Caenorhabditis elegans: one gene and its partner. The protein of the gene in region 1 purifies or fractionates together with the protein of each later gene. This does not show direct contact. Each region holds a gene or a part of one and is shown in the gene's direction. Other genes may lie near its edges.

Region 1 (10,127 bases):
AACCTTTGGGAAGTTTTTTGATATTCTGAATATTGAACTTTTGTTTGATAGTTTTGCAAACAAGGTTTAAAATAGTATTTATGAGAAGGATAGTTCCTCTAAATTCAGTGTTTTCAATAAGAAGCTGGGAGACGCCACGTCTTAAAAGTGGCTGAACATAGAATTAATCAAGAGCGGAAATAATAAATACAAGATTGGAGATTTTGATATGATGACTCAGGTTGACCTCGTAATACGAGAAAAGAAGCTTGTGATGATTTCAAGTGGAAGTTATATGAAGCAGAAGAATCGGGTGATTAATTGTTCAATTTTGCGTACTGAAAGGATTTTATGAGGAATAAAAAATGAAACATAAATTTTTCTAGAAAATTAATTATTTGATAGATAGTTAACGAACCGGTTTCAAACTTGCTTTTTAATAGTATTTTTAGTTATGAAGTTTTATAATGAAAACGCGGCAAGTTTTTCAAAACGAATAAATACTGATCAAGTGTTTTTAGTTGACCATGGGAGCCTTTGAAAGAGCTTCTTGGAATTTATTCTTTGCAAAAGTTTTTTTGGAGTTTATTTATACATGTCGTTAATAAACTTTGTCATCTTCATTTTTTCAATGCTTTTTTTAAAAGAATGTTCAAAAATTAGCGTTTAGAGATAATTTTTAAAAATTGGAAAGTACAGAAATACATACAACAAACTTGAAAATTGAACGAAAAACAAGAAAGAGGAATTTTCTTGAATTTTGACACCACTGGCTAATCTCATTGAACAAAAATAAGCATTCTTGACTGAAAGCACAACAAAACTGATTCATTGAATTATTCAACTGCCGGATCTTGTTTAAGACTGGTTTCCAATCAATTCGAAATTCCAGCCATAAAACGAGTAAATCTTGAAATTTTCACGTCACAAGCCAAGATGGAAAATATCTATAAAAGTAACAAGATTATCTGATCAACTAGTATATTCATTCCAGAAACCAATAATAATAAAAGACATTTGATATCCAATTTCCTGCCTATTCATGTTTGTAACCTTAAACTTTAAAAAAACTATGATATTGAGATCGGATTTCTTGGAGGATTTCTGGTTTTCCTTTCGTTCTTGTGAATTACCATTCTTAAGTAAATGTCGTATCTTATTTGGAAAACGTGATTCGGGTTGGAATGAGGAAAATGTATGGAACAAATAAGGTGGTTAGAAGGTGTGTTGAGCTGAATAGAAAAAGATTGAAGCAATAGATTGGCGGAAAATAAAGAAAATTTTTGAAAGAGAGCAAGTGAGGTCAAACATCTGGCGAAACTATAAACTGGATACATGACATGTTCAAAATAGTTTTAGGTTTTATATAAAAGATTTTTTGATGAAGAAAAACATTTTTAGACTGGATATTTTGGAGTGCGCGACTCAAGGAGGGCCTGTAAGAAGGCAAGATGAGCCCCCCTGACGCCTCGGAAAAAGTTTTAAAAATCATTTTGGCAGTTTTATTGAAAGAAAATTGAGGATGTTTTATTCAAATATCAACTTTTTTTTGAAAAAAAGGAAATTGAAACAAAAATATTTAAAATAGCTTTCACTGTAAAACTTCAGAAACTCATAATTTCAAAAAAAACTATTGAAGATGCTATAAAACTTTATAAAGCATCTAAGAGTTTGAAAGTTGCAAAAGTAAAATGGGCGATACATTTGTTACCAATTGTTTGGCTAGGAAATCTTGAAAATGTTCTTTGCCATATGGTCTGAACTTTGTGGTTGCTTTTTATTATATTTGAATTCTCGATTATGATTCATAAAAGTAAAAGTTCGTGGGTCTTTGCATTTTGAAGATTTCTTCAAAATGTTCAGAATTATTTCAACATTTGAAAACATATTTTCACATTTTCACATTTCATCGAAGACTTTTTATTTCCTGAGTTTAGTCAATTATCTTTTGCTATTGAATAGATCCGACAATTTTGTTTTTGAGCATCTAGACGTAAGCTTTTCTTTCTTTAAGTGTTTTCTAAAAAAACTGGAACATTTTACGATAAGCTGGAAATTGGTATTTTCTAAGAAAAGAAGTACGATTTAGTTTTCTTTCTTAATATCCTGTCAACAAAAATTTATTCGGTTGAGATTGTTAACTTCAGAGTAAAAATTTGAACTAGAATGAAGTTGATCTGAAAAAGTTTCAGGCAATTTCACCAAAATCGATATTTATACAGTTTCCCTAGAGATAATTTCTTCCGCATCTAATTTCGATGTTGTGATACCTTGTTGAATTTGAAGAGCTTTCAAGATTTATTTTGATCGAGTGAAAAAGATTCATATTGGTGTCAAAAAAGATTCCCAAAAAGTTTCTAGCTTATTTTTCTACCCTTCTCGGCATCACTGCCAACGTTGTGTTCAAGTTTGGTTCAAAAATATTAACTTGGTTCTGAAGTTGGCTAACCTTCAGTAACAGTTAAAAAGACTTGGTTTAGCCCAGGCCTATGTTTAGCCCAAGTTTGATCCAACTCATGCTTTGACTGTTTTCCTTGTGTCATTTTAATTTTGGGACAAATGATATTGGCAAGTGTTCGGCCAGACTTGGGTACTTGAGCGCGTTCTAAACCAAGTCAGAACAAGTTTTTGTCAAGTTTAAACTGCTCTAGAGCTCTCCTGCAGCTAATGAAAACAGAGAATAATTTGTTAACGAAAAAATTCAAAAACAACTATTTTCAAAAAACTTCAAAAAGTTAAATGAATACTGAAAACAAAGTTCTTTGAAAACAACGTTTGAATACAACGTCATGAACAATTCAAAATTCATGGTAATGCGGTCGGATCATAGTCAGGTTAAAGATTCACCAAGTGCAAAACTACAAAATCGTAAACAACTTATTCTTTGAAAGAACTCGAGAGCTAGCATAAAAGATTCTAAAAATAAAACGTAAATATGTATTACCCAAGATATTCTTACGTCTTCATTTTCCTAAACGAAAAACAAACATAAGTAAGTGGTGATGGAAGTTGGTGAAAGCCGAGGAAAAAGAGAGTTCAATTTATCTTATTTTCGATGCCTTCTTCTCATTTTGCCTTTTCTCTTTTTTCCACTTAATCTATCCACCAATTCAAATTGGTATTCATTTTAAGTTAGTTTTTGGGATAGCGTCCATGATCGCAGTCGAGCGGGTCTCTATGATTACGGTAAATAAAATAGAATGCGTCAGAAGTTAGGACAAAGCTCAGAATTAAATTTGAAGCCAAACTTGACGTCATCAAAGAGAATTGCAAAGCAACGGAAATTCTGGAAAAGATAAAAAACTGGAAAGTCTATCAAAAATAGTGGAGCAAAGTGATAATACACATTGAGTGTTCAACTTTTTCTTGCTGTGTAGTAGAGAGAGTGATATTAAAAATTACGCTTTACGAAGAGTGCACTTCATTTTTTAACTTTTTTTTGAAAAAAGCTCCAACTCATAATACGAAGTAATGAAGAAGTCGGCAAATTTGAAGAAACGAAAAATGTGGGGGAGGGTTGTGGATTAATTAGGCGAAGATTCTTTGAAAGAGATTCATTTGGAGATCGAAATGTTACATTTATGAAATAGTTGGAACTCAAGTTTTAAATATGGAAAAAATACAATATGAAAATGAAAGTAGTTCTTAACAAGAGTTTAGTAAGGCATAAACCAATAAATGTTGGAAATGTGAACTGATATGAAAAGTTGTGATTCATTTTCAGCTGATTTTAAGTTATGTATGTATAATCGAAAATTTTAGAATTTAAATTTAGAAATTAACTTTAACTCAAGTTATGGATAATTTCTAACCTGGTATTTTTTTAATCCAAGAATTTGTATTTTAAATTTCAGATTCTGGTAAAGCTTTGTTGAGTACACTCAAGACCTGAAAAAATACACAACCTCAAAATACGTTTTTTCAAATTTTGAACCAAATGAAATGCGGCGTTTGTTTCCCTAGTTCTAGATATCTGAATGTATTCTGCGGGTTCGCAATATTAAAATAATAATTTCATTTATCTAATATTCAATTTTATTTGATCTAACACCGTTTTTAAATAGCTGGAATAACAGAAGAAAGACCAGAGTCTGTCTGGATTCTTTTTTCCCATTTTTTGAGAAAAGTCATTTCACAACTTTTTATGTTAATCCATTTTGCCTTCTCTTAGAAACCAACACAAACCACTTTCGTAAATGTTCTATTTCAAATAAAAAGCTCATTTTTGAAACTATTATGAAACATAAAGAAAAGGCGGAATTGACAAACTATTTTTTGAAAGTAAATTTCTGAATTCCCCTTTTTAATCCTATCCTTTTTTCTGAAAATTTATGATGATCCGAACGAAAGGCTCTTTCATTTTTTACGCCTGACGTACCACAAAGATGACAGACATATTGCGACAATTTGCGATTAAAGTGAAAGAAAAAGGAATGAGGGGGTTTCTTGTGAATTGAAAAATATATGTGAAAAAAGGTACTTTCTAGTATTCACCAACATTTATTATTTCTCAGAAGGAAAAGGAAACGACGGCTAGATGGGACTTATTTATGTTTTGATTGACATGGTAACAACATCATACGTTCCATATTGCGTGAGCACTTATCAAGTAAATTGAGAAATGAAAGTTTATATTGAAGTCCTTGTAGATCAATTTATACGAAGATACTTGTGTTTTGGACTTCTAGAATTCTAAAAAAGGGGAAAATTCACAAAAGTGGGTCTCATTAGGAAAATTCAAATTTTTTGAATCACGCTGTAGCATGGAATTACCGCAGTAATTAAGTCACTAAAAATAATGCAACTTTTTCAATTTTTGAGATGTAGTGAGCATCTTGGAGCTCACAGAAACATGGCTCGTCAGGTACATCATATAAATCTATAAATCATATAAATTTCCATTATATACACTTGTCGTATAATTTTTTGAAAGGTTTACTTGTTACATGGAGCTCCGTCTGTAAAAGTGAACATATAGTTTCTAATTTAAGAATTTTTTTTTTAAAATTAGAAATACTTCCAAAATAAGTGAAAATGTGTGAAGAAATGAGCATATGAGTGAGTAAAACTTTAAACAACTGAAAATGATAGTGAAAAATGTTCAACTTACAGTATATTTTTCATAACTTTCTAAATGTTTACATTCGTTTCAATTTTCCTCTTGAAGATATCGCTAGTAGGAAAATTGTTTCAAATCGCTCCTATAGTGCTAATAATGCCCAAATATCATAGTAAAACTTTATCAAACTTTTTTGTAATTTTTTATGTGCATTCAAAATTTTCTGCAAATTTTATATTTCAGTTTCGTTGCAGTTGTTCGTATTTTAACATTCTAAAAATTCGAAGCAATACTCGAGATTACTCGAAAAAAATCGCATTTTTGAAAAACTTGGCAATTTATCAAAACTTTAGCTAACAATTTTTTAAATCTAACAGTCAGAGTCTATTACATATATTGCTCAGTCATGTAGGATTTGTGTTTATAATTATAATACCCCACTTTAATCATGGTTCAAGGTACATATAAAATACGGTAACTGAATTTTGAGCCAAATTAAGTTTCAAAACAAGAAAATAAAGTCAAAAAGTCTAGTGTACTAAGATAGTAGGAAAAATGAACAAGAAATTAACAGCGTCATCTCAATTTCATGGGAGAGAAACTAATCCGTCTCCTGATGATGTTAGTCGTGTATTTCTAAAAGAGAAAAAAAAGTGTGTACGGACTGGAACAAAGTGAAGTATGTATGAAGTAAGTGTCGAAGAAGAAAAGCAGAGCCATAACAGGAGAAAATGAAGGAGAGACCGAACACGCGATCATATGTTAATCGGTCCATTGGGAACCGACCGGCGTGGGGACTTCGAGTCGATAAGTGGGGCGAGAAGAAGCATGAAACATGGTTCAAGAGTAAGAGAATAGACCGCCCAACTTTTTTTGTGCGGGGAGAGCTGGAAGCAAAAAACACTTGAGCGAACGGAATGAGACTGGGGGAATGGAAAAAAGAAGAAGCCACGTCATTATGCGGGGACGAATGGGATGTGAAACGAATTGAGCAGTGGATCATCGATGAGGGGAACGGCAGAGCAGAGATCCGAACGCTATTATCCAGACGCGAAATTTTGTGATTTTTTTGTGACTCAAATACAGTACAAAATTTTTTGTTGAATGCGAAAAGATGTGCACCTTTAAAAATAAAGTACTTTCAAATTCTCGTTTCTGCGGAATTTTCATTCATTTTTCCCTCGATTTATTTTGAAAACTTAGTCTTTATTGAGTTTCTGAATAAATATATAATTGTTTATCGGAAAACAATGAGTAGTCGCACAGGCTGTCACATAACGGTTTGATCTACAAAAAATGCGGGAATTTTTTTTCCCAGATTTCGTCAGCACGCTCGAAACCATGCGAAATCAGTTGAGATGTCTGCGTCTCACCTCCCGCATTTTTTGAAGATCAAACCGACATGGGGCATTCTGACACCATGGTGTACACCACGTGTAAATAGTCGCGAATAGTCGATAAAAGTTCTGCAGCCACGAGTTTGTAATTACAGTACTCTTTCAAGGCGCATACCTTCTTGTATTTAACAAAAAAATTGTCGTGTCGAGACCGGGAACTGTGTTTTAGCGCAAACGTCGTAAAAGTAATAAAATGGTTTTTTTCTCAAAAATTGTTTGAATTGTAGTTTCAGAACATTCATTTTGCTAGATAATGTCGCGATTACGCTTGTCTAGTTCAGGCATAGTTTTGACGTAAATCATCACCGACCATGCATGGCTTGTCAAACACACGAATTGACTCAAGATTTATTAGCTAATAGAGTTTCTAATTTTTAGATCAATATTTAACAGAATTGTCAGATAGGGAAAAGTCGTACACGCATCAATGAAAACTGGTAATGGAGAATCATGGGGATTTTAAAAGGTAGGCAGGTTGGAAAATGGATGTTTTGATTTAAAATATACAGAAATGTGTAAATGGATATGATAATCAGAAATGTACAATTTCAAACGACTGAACATGCATGTGGCATATTGGACATAGTAGAGGTATCTGCTTCTGGAAGGTATCATTGCAAGGTTCACAAAAGCAGAGATGATTGCATGGGCGGAGCAGAACACGTTTCTCAGTCAATTTACACAGGAAACATTGAAGTCGAGCTTCGTTGATAGAATCTTCAACCGATCTGAAAGTGACATATTGAAGAGGTGGGTTGAATTTTTTTTGATAATGAACTTTTTGATATTACATGGTAATATAAAATGTTAAATTACAAAAAAAAACTGATAACATTTTTTGAATAAGAACACATTAATTTTCACAGGTACATTTTTTAAATAATTTTTACTATTCGAACAACTTGATCATGTTCAAAAATTCAAAAAAAAACCTACTTTACACCTGCTTTTGGTGGCTTTGGTCCGTGGATTGCTTCTACTGTGCGACGAATTGGAGCAGCTCTGGAAATATTAAAATTAATAAATTCAGTAGCAAACATTGTTTCGGAACTTACCGATTATCGACTTTTTCGATGAATCCCAGAATAAATTTGATTGGATGCAGGAGAACATCGATAATTCGTGTGACAATTCGGACCTGAAAATGTGTTTTCTTTAGTTAAAATTTTTAAATAAAAAAAAGAAAATATATATTATTAACTCACTTGAGGGAAAATGAAACCAACAACTGTGTAGACGATGGACACTCCGTACGGAACCACAGTGTATAGAATATAACTGATAAAGCTTTCACGTGGTGTTGATGACAATCGCCTATAGACGTACAAAGTGATCAATACAGTAGCAATAAACAGGAATAGTGATAGGGATGAAAATACAGGAAAATTTGTGAAGAACCAGTTAGTAATTCGAACAGGAATCGTCACAAAATAGTAAACTGGATAGAACAGCTTGAAAATGTAGTCAAATGCTGTTCTGGATGCTTGAAGAGCATCATCCGGTTCTTCTTGTTCTAATTCGGACATTTTTATGGATTTTTACAGATGATTCACAAGTGAATTGACTGAGTTTACTCGAAAATGTCACGAGAAAATTGCGAAATTAGCCAAAAAGTGCCTAGAAAAACACAAATGGCTGGGAAACCCAAAACTCGTGTACTCCTCTCGGACAACTTTTATTTTTGTCTTTTTTCGCGAACTTATTCTTGTGATTGAAGTTCCAACGTTTTATTTTAGATAATTTTTGAATAAATATTGTTTAAAATATTAAACCATTTTTAAAAAGTAGAATGGCATCAACTCGACCAGATAACGTCCTAGTTTGGATGGCCAGCCGTGGAAGTTACGTTGAAAGTATGCCAGGAACCATCCTCCGAATAAAAAATGCCTCTAAATTTGGCGAAAATCTTTATGGTAAGTTTTTTGTGTTTTTAGGAAAGTATTTTTTATAATATAATTTTATAGGATTCAAAGATCAGCCTGGAGAATTGGTAGAAGTGACATGGGATGCAATGTTCAAATTACGACCAACACTTGTTGAAGTAGACTTTGGTAGAAATCCTTGTGACGAATTGGTTAAAGTGATTGAAAAAAATTATAATAATGAACAGGTATCATTATTTTAAACTATGTAAATTTACCAAAACTGGTTTCAGATCAGCCATTTCTTCGAGAAAGTAAAAGCCCTATCGCTTCATATGACAGATATCACATCGGAAAGTTTACTGAAACTTATGGATAAATTCACTTTACTGGCTGCATTCTCTTTTTCTGAAACAAAATTTTCCACACCGGAGTGGGCAACAATTTTGAAACGATTGTCAGAACTTAATCTGCGCGGAATTGATCTTTCCGATAATATTTTGAGTGAAGTTCAACAACACATCGATGTATCATTAATGAAATTGTCTGGAAATCCTGGAGTTGATGTTAATGAGTTCAAAAAAGGAATCGAATTTGTGACAGTGAAAGTTCTAGCGGTTCAAGAGCTGAAATTCCTGGGAGAAACGGACGCTGAGCAACTTCTCGAAGTTCTGCCCCAATCGTAAGTCTACAAAGCTTTTAGAATTGTAATATTTTGTGATCTTCCAGATTTCCACGTCTTGAAACACTCATCTGGGATTGGAATGTCGTTGATCCAGAGTTGAACTTCGATGAACGGACCAAGAAAGTTCTTGATCAGCTTCTCTTTGTCAATAAGCAATTGAATCTAGGATCTCTTGCCGTCGTTGCATATACACCAAATCCAGAAACTAAAACCGCAATCGAATCAGTTGCGAGGACACTGAAAGGAAGTATTAAAGATGTTCAACTGCACCAGTTTGCTACAAAAGGATTATCTGATGGAATGGCCAATTTCTCACTTATTGTTGCTGGAAATAATGAAAAAGCGATGAAAGAACTCATGGATATGTATATGGTAGATCGATCTACTATGCCTCCAATGGGGTAATAAAGCTCTGGAGTTTAGAAATTCAATTTTAATTTTTCAGAAAATTGCTCCGACTTTGCGAGGAAGATATTGTTCCCATCTATCCAGCAATTACGATGGATTTTGGAGGATTCAATAAAAACCGTATTCGTCAGCTGTACACAGAAAGCCCCACTGACTGAACATATTTCCTCTTTTTTGAATTGTTCAACTTGTTTTTGTTACCGTTTCCCTGTTGTTTCTAATAAATTGAGTTGTTTTAAAAGAAAAATTCTTATTTACACACAGGCAAGAAAAATAGCGACATATCTACAAGGCAAGCACGGGGATAAAAATACTTTTGTTTAAAAAAGTTTTAAAATTATATTAGGCACGGGATACTTCACTTATAACGCAATTCTTAAACGGTTTCCAGCCCCAAGGTTTTTCAAGTCGTCCTCGAAGCCCTCGATGGAGTCGATCACTCATTACAGCCAAAAACTCTGGATAGGAAAGTGTTCCATCATTGTTCTCGTCAAAGATTCGAAATATCATTGAAACAACGACCGGATCCAATTCTTTTCCAATAGTACATCCAACAGCTCGAGCAAATTCCGGTTCCGAGACTGGTACATTACTGTTCACATACAAACGAACAGCACTTTGAAATTCAGCCAAATTATTCAGGAAACGACTGAAAGTTGCCCATTGACTAAGACTGATGCCTGGCTCATCGTCATCTGATTTCTCTTGCACTCGTTGAAGATATTTGTGATAGTCAT
Region 2 (9,373 bases), on another chromosome or scaffold:
ATTTTACTCTCTGTGGCTTCCTACTATTATTTACTCTCTGTGGCTTCCCACCATATTTTACTCTCTGTGGCTTCCCACCATATTTTACTCTCTGTGGCTTCCCACTATTATTTACTCTCTGTGGCTTCCCACTATTATTTACTCTCTGTGGCTTCCCACTATTATTTACTCTCTGTGGCTTCCCACTATTATTTACTCTCTGTGGCTTCCCACCATATTTTACTCTCTGTGGCTTCCTACTATTATTTACTCTCTGTGGCTTCCCACTATTATTTACTCTCTGTGGCTTCCCACCATATTTTACTCTCTGTGGCTTCCCACTATTATTTACTCTCTGTGGCTTCCCACTATTATTTACTCTCTGTGGCTTCCCACCATATTTTACTCTCTGTGGCTTCCCACTATTATTTACTCTCTGTGACTTCCCACCATATTTTACTCTCTGTGGCTTCCTACTATTATTTACTCTCTGTGGCTTCCCACCATATTTTACTCTCTGTGGCTTCCCACTATTATTTACTCTCTGTGGCTTCCCACTATTATTTACTCTCTGTGGCTTCCCACCATATTTTACTCTCTGTGGCTTCCTACTATTATTTACTCTCTGTGGCTTCCCACCATATTTTACTCACTGGCTTCACAGTAGATTTTACTCTCTGGCTTCACAGAATAATTTACTCTCTGGCTTCGCAGAATAATTTACTCTCTGGCTTCACAGAATAATTTACTCTCTGGCTTCACAGTATATTTTACTCTCTGGCTTCACAGAATATTTTACTATCTGGCTTCACAGTATAATTCACTCTCTGGCTTCACAGAATAATTTACTCTCTTGCTTCACAGAATAATTTACTCTCTGGCTTCACAGTATATTTTACTCTCTGGCTTCGCAGAATAATTTACTCTCTGGCTTCGCAGAATAATTTACTCTCTAGCTTCACAGTATATTTTACTCTCTGGCTTCACAGAATAATTTACTCTCTGGCTTCACAGAATAATTTACTCTCTGGCTTCACAGAATAATTTACTCTCTAGCTTCACAGAATAATTTACTCTCTGGCTTCACAGAATGATTTACTCTCTGGCTTCACAGAATAATTTACTCATCTGGCTTCACAGAATAATTTACTCTCTGGCTTCACAGAATAATTTACTCTCTGGCTTCGCAGAATAATTTACTCTCTGGCTTCACAGAATAATTTACTCTCTGGCTTCGCAGAATAATTTACTCTCTGGCTTCACAGTATATTTTACTCTCTGGCTTCACAGAATATTTTACTATCTGGCTTCACAGTATAATTCACTCTCTGGCTTCACAGAATAATTTACTCTCTTGCTTCACAGAATAATTTACTCTCTGGCTTCACAGTATATTTTACTCTCTGGCTTCGCAGAATAATTTACTCTCTGGCTTCGCAGAATAATTTACTCTCTAGCTTCACAGTATATTTTACTCTCTGGCTTCACAGTATAATTTACTCTCTGGCTTCACAGAATAATTTACTCTCTTGCTTCACAGAATAATTTACTCTCTGGCTTCGCAGAATAATTTACTCTCTGGCTTCACAGAATAATTTACTCTCTGGCTTCACATTATATTGTACTCTCTGGCTTCACAGTATAATTTACTCTCTTGCTTCACAGAATAATTTACTCTCTGGCTTCGCAGAATAATTTACTCTCTGGCTTCACAGTATATTTTACTCTCTGGCTTCACAGTATAATTTACTCTCTAGCTTCACAGTATAATTTACTCTCTAGCTTCACAGTATATTTTACTCTCTGGCTTCACAGTATATTTTACTATCTGGCTTCACAGTATATTTTACTTTTTGGCTTCACAGAATATTTTACTCTCTTGAAAATGTTTCTTCGGGGACTTGTTTCAAATTTTAAGCGCTTTCAGAATTTAATTACAAAATTTTTCTAGGTGCCAGAAGCTTCCAGTTCAATCAAAAAAACTGAATTTCAGGCATATATATGACATCATTTTTGTTATTTCTGGACACACAAACAAGTTCATCTCATTAGTTCTTGTAAAAAATTGTGCCGCATTTTCAAAACTAACTCTAATTTTCAAATGTTGGCGTTCTTTGCATTCTGGACACACAAACAAAATAGGTATATGACTATTTGAAGAGAAATATCAAGTTTCTAAACATTCAATCTGCAAAAACTGGCAATATCTCATCATTTGTTTATCAAAATTTGTTTAGCTTTCTTTCCGTGCAAACTTTCTGTAGACGATTCCGTTGACCTATAAATTGACGTCTGTCATTTTCTTTCTTCATTACAAAATGTTCGTTTTGGCAATAGTATTTGCATTCGTTTTTATTCCATCTTCTTCTTCTGTCACTTGTGATTTCAAAAATGAACTTGTTTCGATGAACTGGAATGTTAAAAACAATAAAATTCAAATTCATTTCGAGCACAATAATCTAACTGAAAATAGATGGACTTCGATAGCTTTTGGAGATGGACCTGGAATGGTTAGTTGTACTCAATTTTATTAAAAATAAATTCAGTGTATTTTTTTTTTAAAAAGTCAGAATAATACAGAGAAGTTCATTATATTATCCCCAAACAACGTTAATAAACTTCCTCCAGAACAACCTGGAATCGATTATATTTTCCCGTAGAGAAGACAATGTGATAACAACAAATTCTGGATATACACCAAAAAAGAAGAAAGTCGTGGTGGATGATGTTTCTTATGTGACAGTTAATGATGTCCAAATCACCGGGAACAAGCTGAAAGTTACAGTGAGCCGACCTTTGGGTCCAGCTGGTCCAAGAAACTTCTCATTGGATCAGTGTTTGAATTGGATGGTTGTACCGGGAGGAAGCTTAAGCAACGGAAAATTCAAGAAACATCATGGCAAAATTTTTTTCATCAAGGTTGGTGGAGAATATTTCGAGAAGATTTAATGTTGTACATAACTTACTTTTTTCTGAAATTCGTCATCAATTGGCCGCTATGTCAACCAAATTAAAGCTGCGGATTTTCCTTTTTTCCGTGTTTTGACGGAACACTTATTTTTCGTTTTCCTCAAAAAATAAGAGCGTGAAAACTCATAAATATTAAAACGGATGAGTGCTGAGAGGGCCTTATAAATACATGTGAACCTGCAAAATCCGTCACTCACTAGAATTGTTGTGGTCCCTATAAACCTTGAGCATGTTTGAAGAAGTAGTAGAACTTTCTAATCTTACGTTCCAACAACATTCAATTCTGATTTTATGAATTTTGCTAATTCCTAAAGAAAACGTTATTGTTCTCTCAAAAATCACTTCTTATTACTTTTCCCTCGTTCCTCGTTCGCAGTTGGTTTTTCCGAAACAAATATCTGTTCCTTTGTTTGATTGAACTGGAAAAGAGTAATGTCGAAATCCTTGGTAATTTGCTTCGTATCTCAAATTTTTTCATGAAATATTTATTACAGGACGTCTGTGCTGCAAAATGTACTGCTGAAAGGATCCAAAGAATCAATTCAAATAAAGCACTATAAAAACATTACTAACATTTTCACATTGAATTCATTAATTAAATTGTTAATTAACTGTCAAATCAAAACCATTAATAAATTTTATGAGCCGAGTTTTGCTTTAAAAGCTTTGTCTGTAGAGCTCAAACACCTATGCCAAATATTATGGAAACTTGAACCCCTATAGCAATAAACACAGTTTTCAGTAGGAAGAAACACTGTTTTTTTTAATTAAAAGTTTCACGTGGTTCAAAAATATTTACAAGTAATAAATTTTTTGAAAGGGAATAAAATAATTCAATGTATAGTTTTACGGAAAGTTTTTGATTGATTTTCTAGCGAGAAATCGTAGTTTAAACATTAATTCAGACTCTATTTTGAATCAGAACAAAAGAAGACGGCAAAAATTGAGATCACCAAACCATCCATATCGGTACAAACATGCTGTACTAAAAGTAGATAAGGAGGGTCAAAGATAATACTACTGATGAGCTTCTTGAAATATATTTGATTAACTGATTGCCATGGATTATTTGTAAATCCTTTCTCAAGCGTTTCCCCTACAAAACCATGTGTAACTTTTTTTTCTATTTTCTTTTACATCTTAAAGTTTGCCACCGAAAATACCAGAGCAAGTAGACACACACATACACTTGGCACATTGTTGGACTACAAACTCTCGTACCCAGATACACAAAAACCACGATGGTAAACACTGTGATGACCGAGTATAAAAGGGAGCACATGATGAGTTGAAACAGACAGTACATCCATTTGAAACTCTCACATTCGAAAAATGTTCCGATCCATTGCTGTTCTTTCGGCTCTTCTTTTTGCCTTTGCATCCGCCAAAACATGCAAATACGACAGTTCCGATTTTGAAGTTTACTGGCGATTCGCTAATAATTCGATTAATATGCAATTCATGAACACTGATATTAAAAATAACGAATGGACTGGAGTTGGGTTTGGAGATGATAAGGTAAGAAAATTGACAACATCTAATGCAGTTTATCCTAGATATCCAAAATAAATTTGAACAAATTCACATTCCAGAACAACTTTGTCGGAGTCTTCTTCATGGTGTCCAACAATCAAGTTACTGTCCGTACAGGATCAACCACTCAACACGGACCACCAACTTTCACTCAATCTGGAACAAACACTGCTTCAGTATCCACTCAAGCACTAAACTATTTCCCAGAGGATAAGACAATGAGTGCTGTCGTTCAAATTCCAATTCAATTCAATGGAAGAAGCCTTCAATCGTGCCAAAAATGGAGGGTAAGGCATTTTTTGTAGCTTTACTAAAAGTTCTTCAAATGTAAAATTTTTTCAGTTCGTCAAGTCTGGCAAAATCGAAAACGGACAACTCACCCGTAACGATAAGTCGCCAAAGGAGAAGAAAGTGTGCCCAATGGAATGCAATTAAGCTCCGCCCTTTTACTTATTCATGAATAATCATGTTTCAATTTGACCATGTAAATAATTGTTTTTCTCATATCGGGATCATCTTTTTTCTCTCACTGTTTCAAAAATAATTGAATTTCAATTTAAAAACGATAACTTCGACCAATAAACGGTTCGACTAGAAATCAACGAACAAACGTGAACATTGTCAGCGTGGCTACCGTAACCCGTCAAAATCAAATACACTTTGTTATTGTCACAATTGTGCCATTCGTTTTGTTTGAACAAGAAAAAACTGTGTTTGACAACTTCGTAAAAAACTTAAGAACTGATGGCGGAAAGGTTCACTAGAACAAATAAAAATATTAATAAAAAATTAATAAAAAAATCGGTGTGTGTGTGTTTTAATAGGGGCTACATTATTTATTCATTCGTTTCAGAGTGCCATAAAGTGAATGAAATAATCTACAACTGTATTTGCTTTCAATTGTTTGGATTATAAATTCCATTTGGTATTTCGCTCAACAATCCTATCCTACTTGGCTAGAAAACACCTTCGAAAGAGTGTAAACTGAAAATTAAATTGTAGAAATCACAACAATATATACATATTTGAAAATTTAAACAAATGTGAGCACCGCATTTTTTTGTCTTCGTCATGTCTGCAAGAGAGCGTAATAAATTAAATTATATTAAATTCTAAAATATCACACTAGAAAGCGAGCCGGTCACGAGGCGTCCGTTGTACGCCTCAACCCATGTGAAATGTCTAGTTTGAATGTATCAAGAGAAGAGTTTATGTAATATCCTTTTTGAAAATTGAATAAAATACATACTTTAATTTCGAATAGTTACCTACTAAATATGAGCTAATTTTTTTTACGTGATCTTTTCATTTTGCTCTATTGGTTGTTTTTTTAATATGGGTAATAAAACTGTATTGCTGAAATTATTGCAAGTACATACATATACACTGATTTCTGCATGTTGTTGATGATTATTCGTTGATAATAAATAGTTGATGATTCAATGTACTAAATTTCAGATAGTATATAATAAGGAAACAACAATAAAAGCGTTGTAAAAAATATTACCTTCACACTGAATTATATTTTTAAACAGTGTGCCTTCATATACTAAATAAAAATTAGTTTTCATTTATGGGGTTATTCAAGTAGTGTCGGAAAATTAAAAAGTGTAGAAAAATTAGGTCATAACTGTAATAAAACACGTAAAAATATGTGTTTTAATACAGTTGTGACGTCATAAATGTATTTTAATACATTTTGCAACATTACTTGAATAACCCCATTAGAGGTGTCGTCATAATTTTAAAGTTAAGAGTTAATAATTTTAAAGTTAAGAGTCATAATTTTAAAGTTAAGAGTTAATAATTTTAAAGTTAAGAGTCATAATTTTAAAGTTAAGAGGCACATTTAGTCCGAGTATCCCTTGTGAGTGCCGAAAATGATGTTGTCGCGTTTTCCAGAGGTTAAACCCTGGCTACGCGCATGTTGTAGCAGTATTCCAAAGTCTAAAAGAATGCATTTGAAATTTAAGTTTACAATCAGCATGGCATTGTATATAACGTCCCCGATTGCTAAGAAAGGCAAATGATATAATTTAAAAATTTCAAATACTATTTATCGAACACTACATATGGACATTTTTTCAATCACAAGCAGGTGGCCGGTAATTTTAACGCTTGAGGGATGAGAGTTTGGTTTTTACAGGGATGCGAGTTTTTTTTGGGCATATTTTGAGTCCCGTGATTCGGAGAGTTTCAGAAAAAAAATATACAAAAAAAGCCCCACTGCATTAAAAAACAATCACTTAAATAATAGCTAAAAAGTGACCATATGCATCCAATTTCCTAGATAATTTTTTAACTATTTTTGAGAAAAGAAAAGTGTCGCGGTGTTCAACAAGTTGTTTTTGCAGACATTTTCGTTAATATAGTCTATGCTCTCTGAAGTTTGCCAATCGGTTAAAAATTTACGAATTTTCCAAATATTTGCCACGTCTTTTTCTCATATTCTCTTCAATTCATTATCACTCTCTTCAAAATTTCATTCAAATGTTTACCAATCGTCACCTACTAACAAAAACTTATGTTTTCCTCGACCGATGAGACACCCACCTAAATAACTCGAAATGTCAATATCGCAGAATTGGTTTAAATAGCAGGAGACAAAAATTATTTGAAAACTATTTGAAATTTGAAGAAATCAAAAGAATGCTATCTCAAACGATTATTCTACTGCTCATTTCAATTGGAACTGTGGCTTCACAGACTTGCAAGTTTTCAAAATCCGCAGTGAAGGCCAATTGGAAAATTCAAAATGGGGCATTGCAAATTCAATATCAAAATAATAGAATTACCAATAATCAATGGACTGCAATTGGATTTGGACCCGGAATGGTTGGTTACAAACAATTAAAATAGTTTACTGAAAAATTAATTCTTAGTTTTGAATAACATACAAGGACGAATCACAATTTTAATGTTAAGTCTAACTTTGAGGTACTTTTTTGAATATCTAAAAATTATATTATTAAAAATATTATTTTGATTTTCGCTATTATTGAAGTTTGGCTTGACAAATTTTGAAAAAAAAATGTGGGAAAGATATCGCCAGCTTAGACGAATTTAAAATTCATGATCATGTTCAAAAATAAAATATTTCAGTCAAACCTGAACGTAATCGTATTCATAGTCCAAAATAGTCAAGTGACTGTACGTACCGGAAGAACATCTGGATATGGTCCACCATCTTTTGATAATCAAAGCAGTGTTAGTGTTCAAATGGCAAATCATTCTGGATCAACACTCAATGCTCTTGTCAATGTCCCATTAAACTTTAATGGAATGAATATTCAAAATTGTCAGACTTGGAATGTAAGTTCGAATATTAAAAAAATAATCTCGTATTTAATTCAATCAATGATTTTTCAGTTTGTACAAAGCGGTCCAATCAACAACGGAAATATGGGTGTACATACATCGAGACCAGATCAAGTCAATAATGTTTGTGCGTCACAGTGCAGATAAAAATTGTATTTTTTAAATTCTAAATTTGATCGATTTGATATTGTTCATTAAAATGAAATTGCATTTGTTTAAATTTCGCTAAAGTTGAATAGTGACAAATTACAAACTGAAACTTGTATATATTTTTTTCAGTAGCTCAAAAACATTCAGAGAAAAGTTCTATGTATAGAATTTCCTTGAAGTTAAAAACTTGTATTTTCAGAAAAAAAAAAATAGGCTAGACACATGAACACCTGTTCATACTTGAGGTTCAAAGTATCAACTGGCGTCATATTTTTTTTGTAAATAGCCATTTCATCTTACTATCAGAACCATTTGTGTTCATTTGTTTTGTTTGTAATTTTGGAAATTAAAGGAGACGAGTTTTTTTTTGTAAAGCATACCAAGATTACCTTCATTTCTAACAATTATACGAGAATTTATTTCTAAAAAACAATTATTTCTGCATTTAATTATGGTATTATCAAAGTATTCAAGTTTTTGCGATAACAGTTTTTTTCTAAAACATCTTTAATTTCCCAAATTCTAGAATGCGATAGTTTTTTCATGATGACGTCAATTTATTTCCCTGAAGCTCTAAAATAATTTTATACGCTTTTCCCGTTTTTTTATGCAATTCAAATTCTACTGAACTCCAATGTTTTCAGATTTTTCGAAGTTTTCAGTCAACGTTTTGGTTAATTTCCAAATATTTGAAACATTTGTATTTTAATTTTTGTTTTTTTAGCAACGCTGCATATTTGAACACTAGAAAGTTTTTATACAAATAATTGAACTTATAATTATAATATAAAAAATGAAAATATAATATGAAAATATAAAATGAAATTATAATATAAAACTTGCAGAAATAATTGTATTTTATTCGATTACGACTGGACCTGAAACCACAATACTCCATTCTTTTTTGTTCAGCCGTAACATTTTATTAATTTTTCGTATTATAAAAACTGAAAACTTGATATCTGAAACTAACCCCACAATCAGAAAGTATCGGTCAAATGACGCATTGAAAACAAAGAAAAATTGATTTGGGGAACCTCTGTCCGTTTTTGGAATGTTATTGTCTTCTACAATTTTTCCCCCAAAATAATGATCACTATTGTTTAATTGTATCACTCATGTCGTTCATACACTGGTATGACATCTTCAACCTATCTTCTTTTTTTTTGGCAATCAGTTCATTCTTTCACCATTTTTTCCGTTTTCTCCCATCTAATTTTTCCAAATCACTAACAAACAAGCAATTCTTTATTTTCTATCACTGATTTGTGTCCAGTCTTCTTGTTTTCCAATGATTTTTGATTCTCATTCTCTTCCTTTTTTCATTCATATAATCTCGTTAATTATTAACAGTTTCTTTCCAAATTCACTAAATTCTGCAAAAAAAATGTTTCTCATTCGGAAGCTGTAACCGTGTAATAGA

The links.
Region 2: the proteins of C56A3.5 (region 1) and Y73F4A.2 fractionate together in Caenorhabditis elegans (co-fractionation; one large-scale study listed by BioGRID). This does not show direct contact.

The regions. Positions count from the first base shown.
Region 1 is NC_003283.11:13,543,747-13,553,873, forward strand, and holds C56A3.5 (Leucine-rich repeat-containing protein), read left to right. Parts: upstream 1-8,220; 5' UTR 8,221-8,224; coding exon 8,225-8,348; intron 8,349-8,399; coding exon 8,400-8,545; intron 8,546-8,590; coding exon 8,591-8,979; intron 8,980-9,026; coding exon 9,027-9,383; intron 9,384-9,427; coding exon 9,428-9,548; 3' UTR 9,549-9,627; downstream 9,628-10,127. Other genes in the region: C56A3.4 (RING-type domain-containing protein), read right to left, coding at 6,968-7,163, 7,372-7,437, 7,491-7,573, 7,641-7,961; micu-3 (EF-hand domain-containing protein), read right to left, coding at 9,733-10,127.
Region 2 is NC_003282.8:9,038,219-9,047,591, reverse strand, and holds Y73F4A.2 (DOMON domain-containing protein Y73F4A.2), read left to right. Parts: upstream 1-4,244; 5' UTR 4,245-4,281; coding exon 4,282-4,467; intron 4,468-4,541; coding exon 4,542-4,769; intron 4,770-4,824; coding exon 4,825-4,917; 3' UTR 4,918-5,205; downstream 5,206-9,373. Other genes in the region: DOMON domain-containing protein Y73F4A.1, read left to right, coding at 2,298-2,489, 2,608-2,898, 3,444-3,509; Y73F4A.3 (DOMON domain-containing protein), read left to right, coding at 7,132-7,317, 7,585-7,794, 7,852-7,947.